Saccharomyces cerevisiae S288C: one gene and its partners. Changing the gene in region 2 together with the main gene of any one other region gives a genetic interaction. Each region holds a gene or a part of one and is shown on either strand. Other genes may lie near its edges. The genes, in order: MSS4, CTK1, HOS2 and CLN3.

Evidence for each region.
Region 1: mutations in CTK1 (region 2) and MSS4 together harm fitness less than expected from each alone (positive genetic interaction), as found in Saccharomyces cerevisiae (2 studies listed by BioGRID).
Region 3: mutations in CTK1 (region 2) and HOS2 together harm fitness more than expected from each alone (negative genetic interaction), as found in Saccharomyces cerevisiae (4 studies listed by BioGRID, with this or other methods).
Region 4: mutations in CTK1 (region 2) and CLN3 together harm fitness more than expected from each alone (negative genetic interaction), as found in Saccharomyces cerevisiae (3 studies listed by BioGRID).

The regions. Positions count from the first base shown.
Region 1 is NC_001136.10:866,524-871,091, forward strand, and holds MSS4 (1-phosphatidylinositol-4-phosphate 5-kinase), read left to right. Parts: upstream 1-1,700; coding exon 1,701-4,040; downstream 4,041-4,568. Other genes in the region: DNA-binding transcriptional regulator UME6, read right to left, coding at 1-999; YDR209C (uncharacterized protein), read right to left, coding at 4,513-4,568; cysteine-rich palmitoylated domain-containing protein CPP2, read left to right, coding at 4,551-4,568.
Region 2 is NC_001143.9:181,165-185,044, forward strand, and holds CTK1 (cyclin-dependent serine/threonine protein kinase CTK1), read left to right. Parts: upstream 1-1,793; coding exon 1,794-3,380; downstream 3,381-3,880. Other genes in the region: TGL1 (sterol esterase), read left to right, coding at 1-1,261; HSK3 (Hsk3p), read right to left, coding at 3,639-3,848. UniProt on the Saccharomyces cerevisiae protein: Catalytic subunit of the CTDK-I complex, which hyperphosphorylates the C-terminal heptapeptide repeat domain (CTD) of the largest RNA polymerase II subunit.
Region 3 is NC_001139.9:139,797-143,740, reverse strand, and holds HOS2 (histone deacetylase HOS2), read left to right. Parts: upstream 1-2,014; coding exon 2,015-3,373; downstream 3,374-3,944. Other genes in the region: IME4 (mRNA (N6-adenosine)-methyltransferase), read right to left, coding at 1-1,495; YGL193C (uncharacterized protein), read left to right, coding at 1,514-1,825; YGL194C-A (uncharacterized protein), read left to right, coding at 3,780-3,944.
Region 4 is NC_001133.9:65,252-69,548, reverse strand, and holds CLN3 (cyclin CLN3), read left to right. Parts: upstream 1-2,028; coding exon 2,029-3,771; downstream 3,772-4,297. Other genes in the region: holocytochrome c synthase CYC3, read left to right, coding at 24-833; Rho family guanine nucleotide exchange factor CDC24, read right to left, coding at 4,145-4,297. UniProt on the Saccharomyces cerevisiae protein: Essential for the control of the cell cycle at the G1/S (start) transition. CLN3 may be an upstream activator of the G1 cyclins which directly catalyze start.

The DNA of each region.
Region 1 (4,568 bases), on a different chromosome or scaffold from region 2:
GGCACATTGGTCATCATGCACATTATGCTGGACCTGAGAGTCGTTAGATGGACTGCCGCCGCGCTTAGTTCCGCCGCGCAAATACCCGCCAATCTCATTGTTATTAGAGGATTCTCTCGAATCTGAGCTTTGTATCGAATTATTGTCGTTGTTGTTGGTACTGTTGTTTCTGCTCAGTATCGACATAGGCGAATTGGTAGTCTTACCGTTGTTCTTGTTGGCGCTGGTAATGATGAGCGGCAAATCCGATCCTGTGCGGGAACGGATGCCCGAGCCCGTGCCCGCGCCCGAGCCTGCTGCGGTGGTACCGGGGGAAGAAACCGCTGGAGCTTGTGGTGGCGGCAAATGTATTTTTTTTTTGGCGCCGGCGACGATAGTAGTAGTGGCAGTGTTACTATTAGTGGAGGTGGAGGAGTAAGGGAAAACATCCTCGTTGGTTGCAGTATACTGCGGCTGAATAGCACCGGAAATTTGTGGGTCTGTAGCCTGTGCGACATGGCCATTGCACAATGACTTAGGATCCGAAGGTGTATTGGAAGGCGCGAGTGGGCTGGCGGCAGCATGCACAGCGTTATCGCTGTCACGGCGATCTTGAAGTGTAGTATTGGTCGTAGTAGTAGTATCGTTTTCCTTAGGATCGTCTTTGATATCTCCGCCACTTTGGACTTTCAAACTCGGCGAACCAGACGGAGTATGCACGGGAGTGTTGTTGGGCGCACATGTCGATTTCATAATAGAAAGCAAAGGGTTTTCATCGTAGGTTGTCTTGAGAGATTCGATGCTAGCACTGGAAATTGTAGGATGGCGGGAGTTAGCTCCATCACTAACTTCATCTTCTGCATGTTTTTTGCCGTCTTGGCTGCTATTCATCAGCGTGGCACGAGATGTTTTATTGTGCAAATAGTGATGATTGTTGGCGGTTGTTTCCATCGAAAGCAGAGAGGCAGCCGCATTAGATTCGTCCATGTGTTTGCTTTGAGAGCGCGCCTTGTCTAGCATCGTGAGTTAAGGTCCATGCAAATGGTTTGAGTGCGGTAGTGTCCTAGTTCCTGTGCGCTGTGCGAAGGTGGGCGCTTCTTACGATCACTGGTCTCTTGTCCTTGTCCTCTATGTTCTTTTCATTTTTCTTTTTGACGGCGGCAGTTTCCGCCTGGCATTGGTGAAAAGGCGCCTTGAAGCACGGCGGACGTGTCACCCGGACCGAAACAGAAGAGAAGTAGCGCAGTCTTGGCAATTATAGGATGCCCGAAATCCAACGTGCATTCTATTCTCGTGATTATTCTCGTGATTTCGTGTGCAACCAATGGACTTTAAAAACTGCGCTCTACTACTTGTAGCAATGCATGTTTTGGGCAAGTGGGGTTGAGTGGAGTGTCACCTCAGACGACGTGTCGCTTTTGTATATCCGTTTTTACGGACATAAGAACGTGCCGCCCATTCTGGGAAAACAAAACACAGGTTAAAAAAAAAAAGAAAGGAATGGATGGGGAATGGGACAGAGAGGAAAGATAGAGGTGGAAATAACAAAAGCGTGACAACAAAGAAGCAAATACGGAGGGACAAGCAAAGAAAAAACAAGGACAGAAACAAAAAATAGGAACAAGAAGTAGCACATTCATAAGCAAGAGAGTACGAAACCTGTTTACACCCCCCGAGACAGTTGCCCTATATCGCTTTTCCCTATCAATAGTTTCTAACTCATGTCAGTCTTGCGATCACAACCTCCTTCAGTTGTACCGCTACATCTGACAACATCCACCAGTCGCAAAACAGAACAGGAACCATCGCTATTGCACTCTGCAATAATTGAGCGACATCAAGACCGTTCGGTGCCGAATTCGAATTCGAATCCGGATTCGAACCATCGAATAAAAAAGGATCGCAATAATCACACTAGCTACCATTCTTCATCGAATTCGGAGTCAAACATGGAAAGTCCTCGCTTGTCAGATGGTGAGTCTTCCACTCCGACCTCTATTGAAGAGTTAAACCCAACAATAAATAATTCGAGGCTGGTGAAGAGAAACTACTCAATATCAATTGATCCTTTGCATGACAACAGCAATAATAATACGGATGATGATCATCCAAACACCATAACTTCTCCCCGACCAAATAGCACTAGTAACAAGGAAATGCAGAAATATAGTTTTCCCGAAGGTAAGGAGTCGAAGAAAATAACAACACCCTCGTTAAACTCGAATAATTGTTTGGATTTGGACAATTCCAGTCTTGTTCACACAGATTCGTATATACAAGACTTAAATGACGATCATATTTTACTAAACAAGCGCGTTTCGAGGCGATCTTCCAGAATATCGGCAGTAACAGCAACTTCCACGACAATTAAGCAAAGAAGAAATACTCAGGATTCAAACCTGCCCAATATTCCCTTTCACGCTTCCAAGCATTCTCAAATTCTACCTATGGATGATTCAGATGTAATAAAATTGGCCAATGGAGATACCAGCATGAAACCAAATTCTGCTACTAAAATTAGTCACTCAATGACTTCTTTGCCTCTTCACCCACTTCCACAACCTTCTCAAAAGTCAAAGCAATATCATATGATATCCAAATCAACCACTTCTTTGCCGCCAGAGAATGACCACTACTATCAACACAGTCGTGGCACCAACCATAATCACGCTGCTAATGCTGCTGCTGTTAATAATAATACTACTACTACTACCGCTGCTACGGGTCTGAAAAGATCAGAGTCTGCAACGGCAGAAATTAAGAAGATGAGACAATCTTTGCTGCATAAAAGAGAAATGAAAAGGAAAAGAAAAACATTTTTGGTGGATGACGATCGTGTTTTGATCGGTAATAAAGTCAGTGAAGGCCATGTCAACTTTATTATAGCTTATAACATGCTAACTGGTATTCGTGTCGCAGTGTCACGTTGTTCTGGCATAATGAAACCTTTAACTCCGGCAGACTTTAGATTTACGAAGAAGCTTGCCTTTGATTATCACGGAAATGAATTGACCCCTTCTTCTCAGTATGCATTTAAGTTTAAGGACTACTGTCCCGAAGTCTTTAGGGAACTTCGTGCATTATTCGGCTTAGACCCTGCTGATTATTTGGTTTCGTTAACTTCCAAGTACATTTTGAGTGAGTTGAACTCGCCAGGTAAAAGTGGTTCATTTTTTTATTATTCGAGAGATTACAAATATATTATCAAGACCATACATCATTCTGAGCATATTCATCTGAGAAAGCACATACAAGAATACTATAACCATGTAAGAGACAATCCAAACACTTTGATTTGTCAATTTTATGGTTTGCATAGAGTGAAAATGCCTATATCGTTTCAAAATAAAATTAAGCATCGGAAAATTTACTTCCTAGTCATGAATAACTTATTTCCACCACACTTAGACATTCACATTACTTATGATTTAAAAGGTTCCACATGGGGCCGTTTTACCAATTTGGATAAAGAAAGGTTGGCGAAAGATAGATCATATAGGCCTGTGATGAAAGATTTAAATTGGCTTGAAGAAGGTCAGAAAATTAAATTCGGTCCATTGAAGAAGAAGACTTTTTTGACACAGCTGAAAAAAGATGTGGAATTGCTTGCTAAATTGAATACAATGGACTATTCCTTGTTAATTGGCATTCATGACATCAATAAAGCTAAAGAAGACGACTTACAATTGGCGGATACGGCATCTATTGAGGAGCAACCACAGACTCAAGGACCCATAAGAACCGGTACCGGAACGGTAGTACGACATTTTTTTAGAGAGTTTGAAGGTGGAATTCGAGCATCTGATCAATTCAACAATGATGTGGATTTGATTTATTACGTGGGGATAATCGATTTCTTGACTAATTACTCAGTTATGAAGAAATTAGAAACGTTTTGGAGAAGTCTACGCCATGATACCAAGTTGGTGAGTGCCATACCTCCAAGAGACTACGCCAATAGGTTTTACGAATTCATAGAAGATTCTGTAGATCCTCTGCCCCAGAAAAAAACTCAATCGTCGTATAGAGACGACCCTAACCAGAAAAATTATAAAGACTGAGTAGGGCACAGGTAAATAACCTATCGTCTATGTACTCAGTCTAATCTACTTTGATTTAATTTAATTCAAGTTATATAAATCTATTCTTTTCCCTTTAATTTTAATATTTTAATTTCAATCCTTTTCTTATTTTCTATTTTTGCTTTTTTTTTTTCTTTTTTCCATATTCTCAGGCCACGTCAGGCTTGCATAAGCCACGCTAGCTAATAATTCAGCGAGACCCTATTCCAAACCTAATTGTTCGGAACCATGCCATATCTCTTCCGCAGTGTGTGGCTAAGCGGCTTTAAGAGGATACGAAATGTCAAAAAACGAGAAAATTCGATTATATCTGTACGAACTTTTCTTTGCGCTTACTGCCTGTTTACTTTGCTTTGCCTTCTACTGTTTTTTTTTGCTCGAGGCCGATGGTGAACTGCAACGTTATATAAACTAAAGTGCCAGAATAAAAATAAAGAAAGGCAAAGGGAGACTATCCGTCTTCGAAACAAGTCAAAAGAGCGAAAACTAATGAGCCAACAACAAGGT
Region 2 (3,880 bases):
AAACTTACCGTTTGTATTGCATGATTTAGGTTACGACGTCTGGATGGGAAATAATAGAGGTAATAAATATTCAACTGCCCACTTGAACAAACCACCAAAATCGAACAAGTTTTGGGATTTTTCTATCGACGAATTTGCGTTCTTTGACATTCCAAACTCAATTGAATTCATCTTAGATATAACAAAAGTGGACAAGGTCATCTGCATCGGATTCTCTCAAGGCTCTGCTCAAATGTTTGCTGCATTTTCGTTGAGTGAAAAATTGAATCGAAAAGTCTCCCATTTTATAGCCATAGCACCCGCTATGACTCCAAAGGGGTTGCACAACAGAATTGTCGATACCTTGGCCAAATCATCGCCCGGCTTTATGTATCTTTTCTTTGGTAGGAAAATTGTGTTACCTTCAGCTGTCATTTGGCAAAGAACTTTACATCCAACACTTTTCAATTTGTGTATCGATATCGCAAACAAGATACTGTTCAATTGGAAGTCGTTTAACATTCTACCGAGACAAAAGATTGCTTCTTACGCAAAACTTTATTCAACGACCAGTGTAAAATCCATTGTTCACTGGTTCCAAATATTAAGATCTCAGAAATTTCAAATGTTTGAAGAGTCTGATAACATGCTAAATTCCTTAACTAGGCCTTACCAAATTGCTAATTTTCCTACTAGAACAAATATCAAGATTCCCATTCTTTTAATTTATGGTGGCATAGATTCTTTAGTTGATATTGATGTGATGAAAAAAAATCTACCCTTCAACTCCGTCTTTGATGTTAAAGTTGACAATTATGAACACCTGGATTTGATTTGGGGCAAAGATGCCGATACCTTGGTCATTGCTAAAGTCTTGAGGTTTATTGAATTTTTTAACCCTGGTAATGTTTCAGTGAAGACTAACCAGTTACTACCATCAGCAAGTCTGGTTGAGGAATTACCAAGCACGACATGGAAGACAACTCATCCAACGCATGGTCTCAGTTATAGAACTCACTCGGCAGACCGTTCTCCGTTGTCTGTACAAGCTGATGAAGCGGATGAGGTCCACAATGCTGACAATTCAAGGTTCTTAAGACGAGTGTTTTCTACTAGTGCCATAGACGAGGACAACGAAAATGAGCACCAGGATGATACAGAAGATCAAATCCATAAGGAGCAGCAAAGACGGTTAAGTGCCTATCTGGAATCATCCAAAGATTTACGACAACTAGATGCCAACTCTTCGACAACTGCGCTGGATGCTCTAAATAAAGAATGAAAAGAATGCGAGAGAAACCCTATTAAACTATTTTTTGTCTAGGATAATAATATTAGCGCTAATCTAAAAATCGATGAACTAAAGAAAGAATATACGTACGTTTTATACACAATAAATGGATTTCATAAGAAGTCCTTAATATCCTCATGCTTGTGGATACTGGAAATTAGTAAAGTAATTAACTTCCTTTTAGCATTATTCTTATTTGGCTTAAAAAGGTCACGTGAAGCTCTATTTTTTTCGTTTTTTTTTTTCACTGATGGAAGAGAAAAACCTCTACATAATAAGGTAACTTTACATATTGATTGCCAATGAGATGTTAAAAAATGGACGGTTCAGACAGTAAAATACATTTAGAAAAAAAGAGAAGGTCTTATCAGTGTATTTATTCACTGTGCATATTAGCTTTTTTTGGACTTTTTTTGTTCCATTAGTACTTTTAAAAAACCTATTTGTAAATAAAACTAATTCTAGCACTATTCTTTGCACTAGAATAACACAGGGACCATACAGCATAAATTATTTGGTAACAATGTCCTACAATAATGGCAATACTTATTCAAAGAGTTATAGCAGAAATAATAAGAGACCCTTGTTCGGAAAGAGGTCGCCAAATCCTCAGTCCCTAGCGAGACCACCGCCACCAAAGAGAATACGGACTGATAGTGGTTACCAGTCGAATATGGACAATATATCTTCTCATAGGGTAAATTCAAATGACCAACCAGGCCACACGAAAAGTCGTGGTAACAATAATTTATCTCGCTATAACGATACATCCTTTCAAACAAGTTCCAGATATCAAGGTTCAAGATACAACAATAATAATACGTCGTATGAAAATAGGCCTAAAAGCATAAAAAGGGATGAAACAAAGGCTGAATTCCTGTCTCATTTGCCAAAGGGGCCCAAATCTGTTGAGAAATCAAGATATAATAATTCATCCAATACTAGTAATGATATAAAAAATGGCTATCATGCTTCAAAATACTATAACCACAAAGGCCAGGAAGGGCGGTCTGTCATAGCTAAGAAAGTTCCAGTTTCGGTTCTAACGCAGCAAAGGAGCACGTCAGTTTACCTAAGGATAATGCAAGTCGGAGAAGGAACATATGGTAAAGTTTACAAGGCAAAAAACACGAATACAGAGAAGTTAGTAGCGCTGAAAAAATTGAGATTACAAGGAGAGAGGGAAGGCTTTCCCATAACCTCTATACGAGAGATTAAACTACTACAAAGTTTTGATCATCCAAATGTCTCTACTATAAAAGAAATAATGGTCGAATCTCAAAAAACTGTATATATGATATTTGAATATGCTGACAACGACTTAAGTGGATTACTATTAAATAAGGAAGTCCAAATTTCTCACTCACAATGCAAACATCTCTTCAAACAATTGCTATTAGGAATGGAATATTTACATGATAATAAGATTTTACACCGTGATGTTAAAGGCTCAAACATCTTAATCGATAACCAGGGGAATCTAAAAATAACAGATTTTGGACTAGCGAGGAAAATGAATTCGCGAGCTGATTACACTAACCGTGTCATTACGTTGTGGTACAGACCACCAGAACTATTGTTGGGAACTACAAATTATGGAACAGAAGTTGACATGTGGGGTTGTGGCTGCCTCCTGGTGGAATTATTCAATAAAACTGCAATTTTCCAGGGCTCTAATGAATTAGAGCAAATAGAATCAATTTTCAAGATTATGGGAACTCCTACAATAAATAGCTGGCCAACGCTTTACGATATGCCGTGGTTTTTTATGATTATGCCACAGCAAACTACCAAGTATGTCAACAATTTTTCTGAGAAATTTAAAAGCGTTTTACCATCTTCAAAATGTCTGCAATTGGCGATTAATTTGTTATGTTATGATCAGACGAAAAGGTTTAGTGCAACCGAAGCTTTACAAAGCGACTATTTCAAGGAAGAACCAAAGCCTGAACCTTTAGTTCTTGATGGATTGGTAAGTTGCCACGAATATGAAGTCAAATTGGCAAGAAAACAAAAGCGTCCTAACATACTATCCACCAACACAAACAATAAGGGTAATGGTAATAGTAATAATAATAATAATAATAATAATGACGATGATGATAAATAAGGATATATAGCCAATTGAAATAAGTAGACACAAAAAATAGATTAATAACTTATTTATTACGCGATACCCGTAAATATGATACGAACATCTAATTTCATGTGAAGCGGCCTAGTGAATAGAAGGTTTGCCTATTTTCACTCGTTCACTATACGTAACTTGGTTGTCTTTTTATGCAAGCTGTTTGTCCATCGTACCAACACCATCTCATTTCACATCTTATAAATTAGCCTGGCCACTAACTGTCTTACCTCTTATGCCTTATTGCGTTTTTCCAAGCATCTGCTCCATATAATAAATGTAACTACCTATCAACCAACTTCCATGTACCTTACCCAATTGGCCTACCAAGTTTTCGTTACATTGTTTCGACATGATATCTAGTTGTTTTGTCGTTTCCTGTAAATTCGTTTGAAGCTCTCTAAGTTCGTGTGCAAGCTGATTATACTGCCTTTGTTTGTTAGCGTTCATTCTCTTGCCTGAAATTCTTTGTGTCCTCTTCG
Region 3 (3,944 bases), on a different chromosome or scaffold from region 2:
ACCAGCCAGGCCGCGTATTGTGATCCCTTCCGAATATCTCTAGTTTTCTGGCATGGGTGCCTGCCAACCGTTCTGCTATACCATACAGTTCATCAGGCTTTCTACTAGTCTCTCTGGTCATTGATACGATCAAATCGACGTCAATATGTTTGTTGATCCACTTTGGATTACCCTTTAAGCCCACCAATAAATGCTCCTTAGAATGATTTAACCAATGACCCGTACGACCTGTAACAATTGTTCTACCCAGTTGGTTTGTCTTTATCCATGAAACTTCATTTATCACGTTGTAACCCCAGTTATTCAAAGACTCTTTACCCAATTCTATAGCTCTACCCGTCACCCAAAGAAAAATAATACCTTCATCTTGTAGTTCGTGCAAAGGCAAACCTAATAGTTCAATATCGTTGCAAGTACCGTATGGTAGGTTCATATGGATATTCCATGCAGGATCTGCAATAACTACCGAAAACTTTCCAAGAACCCTAAAATCAAATTTCCGCACATCGCAACGGATCCACTGTGCAGGTAAAGCCTTTTTGATACAATGTGCGGAGCAATTGCCCAGAGTATAAAATGGAATGGAAACGTTTGACCGTATTCTTTTATTTTCACTCGCAGTTTCACGATCAGCTCGCTCTTGCAAGCATGACGGAATATATTGCAGGTAATGAATGTATCGACACGTATTTAATTTATGACAGGTATCCAAATAGGAACAATCTCCTAACGAAATATCAGTTTGTGGTTTGATATTAGGGATAAAGTGAATTTTTGATTGAATGCACTCAATTAATCCTGGGTGATTTTCCTGACATGCGGATATTTTGGACCATTGTAAAGAAACGATTTTGTTATTGACAATGTACACCGAGGTGGACAATAGAGATGCATGCGAATAGTCACTACATATCGGGATGTATTCAATGACCTCGGTCGTGTATTTGGCTCTTTCTTTAGCAAGCTGAAAAGATGATGGTTTTTCCCTCAATAAATTTTGTAAGCGATTGCTCAGTTGTTCACGTGGTAACCCCTGGTTGCTGACGTTAACGTCCCAGTTCAGGACTCCAAGCAGTCTACCCAGCAGTTGGTCTTTTTCCGAATCAGCTTCCGGTTTTGTTGTTAAACTCGACACTTTTTCTTCACATGAAGAACTGGACGATTTTAATGTATAGTAGAAGGCATGGAACTTGTTATAGAGAATTTTCAAGGAAAAAACGTCCAGGTAAACAATTTTTTCTGGCCTATCTGCCACTAATAGATTCTGGTCAAATTGAATGGACTGCGGCGTTGCAAATATAATATCCTGAAGATCATTCCAAAACTGTTCAAACTGTAAGACCTCGTCTTTATCGTTTCTCAACTTCTGCATCTCATCATCGTATCCGCCACTGATGTACAGTGAATACACATCTTTGAGCTGTCCAGAAAGCGGTGCTCTTAGGATGTCATCATAATTCTGGATCAGAAAATGTACTAGTTTATCGTTAATCATAGCCTGCTTACAACTTTTATGAATTCAAGTCTGAATGCCAATTCTTATTTTTTTCGAAAACCCCCAATGCTAACTTATATGGTCCGTTTTCTTTACTGTTATCCATCTCCCTTTCCTATAGCTCCAGCGGTTACCGATCTTCCAGAATGCCGGGGAGATCTTTCTCTTTCTTTGTTTATAACAAGTTTCACAAGCACGAAAGAAAGAACAATACTGTACGCCAAAAGCCGCCTAAAGACGCATATTCCCGTCAATTTATGTGACCGGTACCACTATATACCTAAGGCACCTCTATACCAATGTAGAATGCCCTGTTTATACTCTATATAGAGGATTCTCGATGTTCTTTGGGGCATCGTTAAACGTGATATTCCTACTATGTTACTAAATGTTGAACTGAAAGCATCTTGAAACGATTCTAATCAGTTTTAGGTGTGTCGCCAATGTACAGTTATAGAAAAGACGCCAGATTACTCAAGTACGTTAAAATCAGGTATCAAGTGAATAACAACACGCAACATGTCTGGAACATTTAGTTATGATGTGAAAACAAAGGAGAACGAACCATTATTTGAGTTTAATTCTGCTTATTCTCCCAGGGTATCGTATCATTTTAACTCCAAAGTTTCACATTACCATTATGGTGTTAAGCATCCAATGAAGCCGTTTCGGTTAATGCTAACGGATCACCTAGTTTCCTCTTATGGATTGCACAAGATTATGGACCTTTATGAAACAAGAAGCGCTACCAGAGACGAATTACTACAATTTCACTCGGAAGACTACGTGAATTTTCTCTCGAAGGTTTCACCAGAAAATGCAAACAAACTGCCCAGAGGCACACTTGAAAATTTTAACATTGGAGACGACTGTCCTATTTTTCAAAATTTATATGATTATACAACACTATACACTGGTGCGAGCCTTGACGCCACCAGGAAACTAATCAACAATCAATCGGACATAGCGATAAATTGGTCTGGTGGTCTTCATCATGCAAAAAAGAATAGTCCATCTGGGTTTTGCTATGTAAATGATATTGTGCTTTCTATTTTGAACTTATTACGATATCACCCAAGAATCCTTTATATCGATATCGACTTACATCACGGCGATGGTGTCCAGGAGGCATTTTACACCACAGATAGGGTCTTCACGTTGTCTTTTCATAAATATAATGGCGAATTTTTCCCAGGAACTGGTGATCTGACAGAAATTGGTTGCGACAAAGGAAAACATTTCGCATTAAATGTACCCCTAGAAGATGGCATAGATGACGACTCATATATAAACCTTTTCAAGTCAATTGTAGATCCTCTAATAATGACTTTCAAACCAACACTTATTGTCCAACAATGCGGTGCGGATTCCTTAGGTCATGATCGCTTAGGATGCTTCAATTTAAATATAAAGGCACATGGAGAATGCGTAAAATTTGTCAAATCATTTGGTCTACCAATGCTAGTAGTGGGCGGTGGAGGTTATACACCTAGAAATGTATCACGGCTTTGGACCTACGAGACAGGAATTTTAAATGATGTCTTGCTACCAGAAGACATCCCCGAAGATATCCCATTCCGGGACTCATTCGGGCCGGATTATTCACTTTATCCTATGTTAGATGACTTATACGAAAACAAAAACAGTAAAAAACTACTGGAAGACATTAGAATACGATGTCTAGAAAATATCAGATACTTGCAAGGAGCACCAAGTGTCAGAATGGATGCTGAATGCATACCGACACAAGATATAAGTGCCCTGACAGAAGAAGAGGATAAAATCATTCAAGAAATGAATGAAGAAACAGAAGCAGACAGTTCAAATAGGCTAGAAGAAATGGAAAAAGAAAACAGTGGATTGATTGCCTTTTCATAGTTTAAGAGTTTGCTATTCGGTTAATCTCCCGTTTTTTTTTTTTTTTTTTTTTTTATTTTCCTTTTTTTTTTTTTAATGTTTTTAGCATATTATGTAGAGTGTTAAGGCCTTAAAAGTTATTTGCATCATTGTTAAAAATGACATGTATTGTATAAGAGTTCGGCTCTTCGATGCCGTCAGAAACATTTTTGGAAGGTGCACTCCGTATTCGAGACACTTCTGAAACGGACAAGTCACCAAACTACTCTGAAAACAACAAAAAAAAGCCTTTTCTTATAATTTGAAAGCTTCTCCCGCAGCATTATCGATATCGTGAAACTTCCAAAATCTTTCTTAATTAAACCGGACATCAGTGTCTACAACATTAGAGCAAGTCACTCAGTTCATGTAATACATCTGGACAATTATGTCTAATAAAGAGATAACTTGTATCAAACCGTTTAAAATTATTGCTCTAATTTTATTGATAGTTCTAATAATAAACCTCTCTTATAAGTTATTTCTGAGACGCTATTTAAAGTCGACAGTTATTTGGTGTTTAGGAATCGCCAATACAGATCGTAACGATATG
Region 4 (4,297 bases), on a different chromosome or scaffold from region 2:
AAATACAACAGAAACTACAAAAAATGGGTTGGTTTTGGGCAGATCAAAAAACTACGGGCAAAGATATTGGTGGGGCAGCAGTATCATCCATGTCAGGGTGCCCAGTCATGCACGAGTCGTCGTCGTCGTCGCCACCATCCTCTGAGTGCCCCGTTATGCAGGGAGATAACGATAGAATAAACCCGCTGAACAATATGCCGGAGTTGGCAGCATCCAAACAGCCTGGCCAAAAGATGGACTTGCCCGTTGATCGGACCATCTCCAGCATCCCCAAGAGTCCAGACAGTAACGAGTTCTGGGAGTATCCTTCTCCACAACAGATGTACAATGCTATGGTTAGAAAGGGCAAGATTGGCGGTAGCGGCGAAGTCGCCGAAGATGCAGTGGAGTCCATGGTGCAGGTCCACAACTTTCTAAATGAAGGGTGCTGGCAGGAAGTGCTCGAATGGGAAAAACCGCACACAGATGAAAGCCACGTGCAGCCTAAGTTGCTGAAATTCATGGGGAAACCGGGCGTATTGAGCCCTCGTGCTCGCTGGATGCACCTGTGCGGCCTACTGTTTCCGTCCCATTTTAGCCAAGAACTACCATTCGACAGGCACGACTGGATTGTACTCCGAGGCGAGCGCAAAGCGGAACAACAACCTCCAACCTTCAAGGAAGTTAGATACGTCTTGGATTTCTACGGAGGGCCCGACGACGAAAACGGAATGCCTACTTTCCACGTGGATGTCCGTCCTGCCCTAGATAGTCTAGACAATGCTAAGGACCGGATGACCCGTTTCTTGGACCGGATGATCTCGGGTCCGTCCTCTTCGTCCTCCGCCCCTTAAATGATATACAGCCAGCGTAAGTACGTGTAAATAGCCAAGTAAGAAATAATGATGTCCTAGTGCAGCCACAATCAATTTCACTTTTTCATATATATTTTTCCACCTTATTATCACAAGGTGCACCTTTATCGTGTGCCACGGCGGTAAAAAACTACCTTCAGGGGTACGATACATTCTGTGCTGGCGACCACGGGGCTGACAGAGACACCCGTAGAGGCTACATTACTGATTTGGGAAATTTCCCAAATTGGAAATATCACCTCGTCGACGTGCTGCGGTGCATGGCTGTTTTACCCGTTTAGGAAAAAACTCGGCGGGTTTTCTTGACGGGCAAATGTCGCCATTCGTCTCGTTTGAACGCTTGGCCTGTAAAACAGCTAACTCATTCACTATCTCTATCCTGCGACCGTGATGATACCGAAAGTATGCTGATACAGATCGGTCCCTCATATCGCGATAGGGCTTTCTGAGCTCTCCTCCCCCTTCTTCCCTCCCCAGCCAAAGAGGCCGGTTTTCCTTCTGGGGAAGTGTCGCAACCAAACGCTGTGCTCAAACCCTAAATTGTGAACTTTCAAGAAAAAAAAAAAGAAAAAGTGAAAAATTATCAGGCAAGAAAAAGAAATTACCAAGCCTGCTCTCACTGTAATGATCAAGTTACATAAATTTACTATCGGATTAGTGTGTCCCTCTGCCACATTTCCATATTTGGCCTTGGGTTTTTGCCCTCATCTTTTTTTTTTCTTCCTCCTACCTATTTATAATTTGTATATCTGTACTTTCCTCGAGCTTTTAATCTTCTTCTTAAACATTTTCTTGTGTAGTATACTTTCACACAATTTCTTTCTTGATTTTTTCTTCTACTACTGAGTCTGCCAGTCAAATGGATTTCTGAGGAAAGAGGACTATACCCATTAGGAAACGAATTGCCCGAGTAGTCTCCTCTGCCGACTTAAACCAACCTTTTTCTATTTCTCTTTTCTTTTCTCCCTCTTTTTTCTCTGTACTAGCATCCAAAAGCAAGCATCCATCCGAGTCCCAGTCGCAATCTCACATCTCCAATTTAACGTATCCATTGCATTTCCTCATTCGGTTTAACTCCTCTGCATTTCTTTTCTGACCCATAGCATTTCTTACATTCCATTGCATCTCCCTTTTACTCTCGTTCAAGACACTGATTTGATACGCTTTCTGTACGATGGCCATATTGAAGGATACCATAATTAGATACGCTAATGCAAGGTATGCTACCGCTAGTGGCACTTCCACCGCCACTGCCGCCTCTGTCAGCGCTGCCTCATGTCCTAATTTGCCCTTGCTCTTGCAAAAGAGGCGGGCCATTGCTAGTGCAAAGTCTAAAAACCCTAATCTCGTTAAAAGAGAATTGCAAGCACATCACTCAGCGATCAGCGAATACAATAATGATCAATTGGACCACTATTTCCGTCTTTCCCACACAGAAAGGCCGCTGTACAACCTGACTAACTTCAACTCTCAGCCACAAGTTAATCCGAAGATGCGTTTCTTGATCTTTGACTTCATCATGTACTGTCACACAAGACTCAATCTATCGACCTCGACTTTGTTCCTTACTTTCACTATCTTGGACAAGTATTCCTCGCGGTTCATTATCAAGAGTTACAACTACCAGCTCTTGTCCTTGACCGCGCTTTGGATTTCGTCCAAATTTTGGGACTCCAAGAATAGAATGGCCACTTTGAAAGTCTTGCAAAACTTGTGTTGCAATCAATATTCTATAAAGCAATTCACGACTATGGAAATGCATCTTTTCAAATCACTCGATTGGTCCATCTGTCAGTCGGCAACATTCGACTCCTACATCGACATCTTCTTGTTCCAATCTACGTCCCCGTTATCGCCTGGCGTTGTCCTTTCTGCCCCTTTGGAAGCTTTCATTCAACAGAAACTGGCCTTATTAAATAACGCTGCTGGTACTGCTATTAATAAATCGTCCTCTTCTCAAGGCCCCTCTTTGAACATCAACGAGATCAAATTGGGTGCCATTATGTTGTGCGAGTTAGCTTCCTTCAATCTCGAATTATCATTTAAATATGATCGTTCACTAATTGCGCTGGGTGCAATTAACCTCATCAAATTATCTTTGAACTACTATAATTCAAACCTTTGGGAAAATATCAATCTGGCTTTGGAGGAAAACTGCCAAGACCTAGATATTAAATTGTCAGAAATCTCTAATACTTTATTGGATATAGCAATGGACCAAAATTCTTTCCCCTCCAGTTTCAAATCAAAATATTTGAATAGCAATAAGACATCTTTAGCAAAATCTCTCTTAGACGCATTACAAAACTATTGTATTCAATTGAAACTGGAAGAATTCTACCGTTCACAAGAATTGGAAACCATGTACAATACTATCTTTGCTCAGTCCTTTGACAGCGATTCATTGACTTGTGTTTACTCAAATGCTACTACTCCAAAGAGCGCTACGGTTTCATCTGCGGCCACAGACTATTTCTCGGATCACACTCATTTAAGAAGGTTGACCAAAGATAGCATTTCTCCACCATTTGCCTTCACTCCAACCTCATCTTCATCCTCTCCATCTCCATTCAATTCCCCTTACAAGACTTCAAGTTCAATGACGACCCCAGACTCTGCATCACACCATTCACATTCAGGTTCGTTCTCTTCTACCCAAAATTCTTTTAAAAGGTCACTGAGCATCCCACAAAATTCAAGCATCTTTTGGCCAAGCCCACTAACTCCCACCACCCCATCTCTAATGTCAAATAGAAAATTATTACAAAATTTATCTGTGCGTTCAAAAAGATTATTTCCTGTTAGACCCATGGCCACTGCTCACCCATGCTCTGCCCCCACCCAACTGAAAAAGAGATCAACTTCCTCTGTGGATTGTGATTTTAATGATAGTAGCAACCTCAAGAAAACTCGCTGAAACGACAAAAAAAAAATGCATTTAACAACAAATAAATTAAAATTTGCAAAGCAAATACGTTAACATACATTAATGATCTTTTTTTCTTTTTGTTTTCACAGGACTCATTATTTCTTTAAATATACTTATATTACATTTGCATAGAATTACAAAAAAAAAAAAATTATAAAAACGCACAACCTAAAATACGATTACTATCGTTTTTTCTCCTTACTTCCTCTAGTCACATTATACATTTTTTTTCATCCTTCACAGACGTATCTTAATACTAAGTGTGGATCAATATAATGGGTATAGCTTGAACATCTGCCCCTCTCTATCTAATGTTTTTTTCTTGAATTATTTAGTATTTGCTGTATACTAGTTTTATTTATCAATACAGACGAATGTTCAAGAATTTCTCATTGTTTTCCGCCAACATTTCTTTAGCAACATTCCAATCTTCATCGCTACCTAACACAACAAAATCCCCATCTTCGTCCTGATATTTGATCTTGGTGATTGGTGAAATGTTGTTATTATGTGT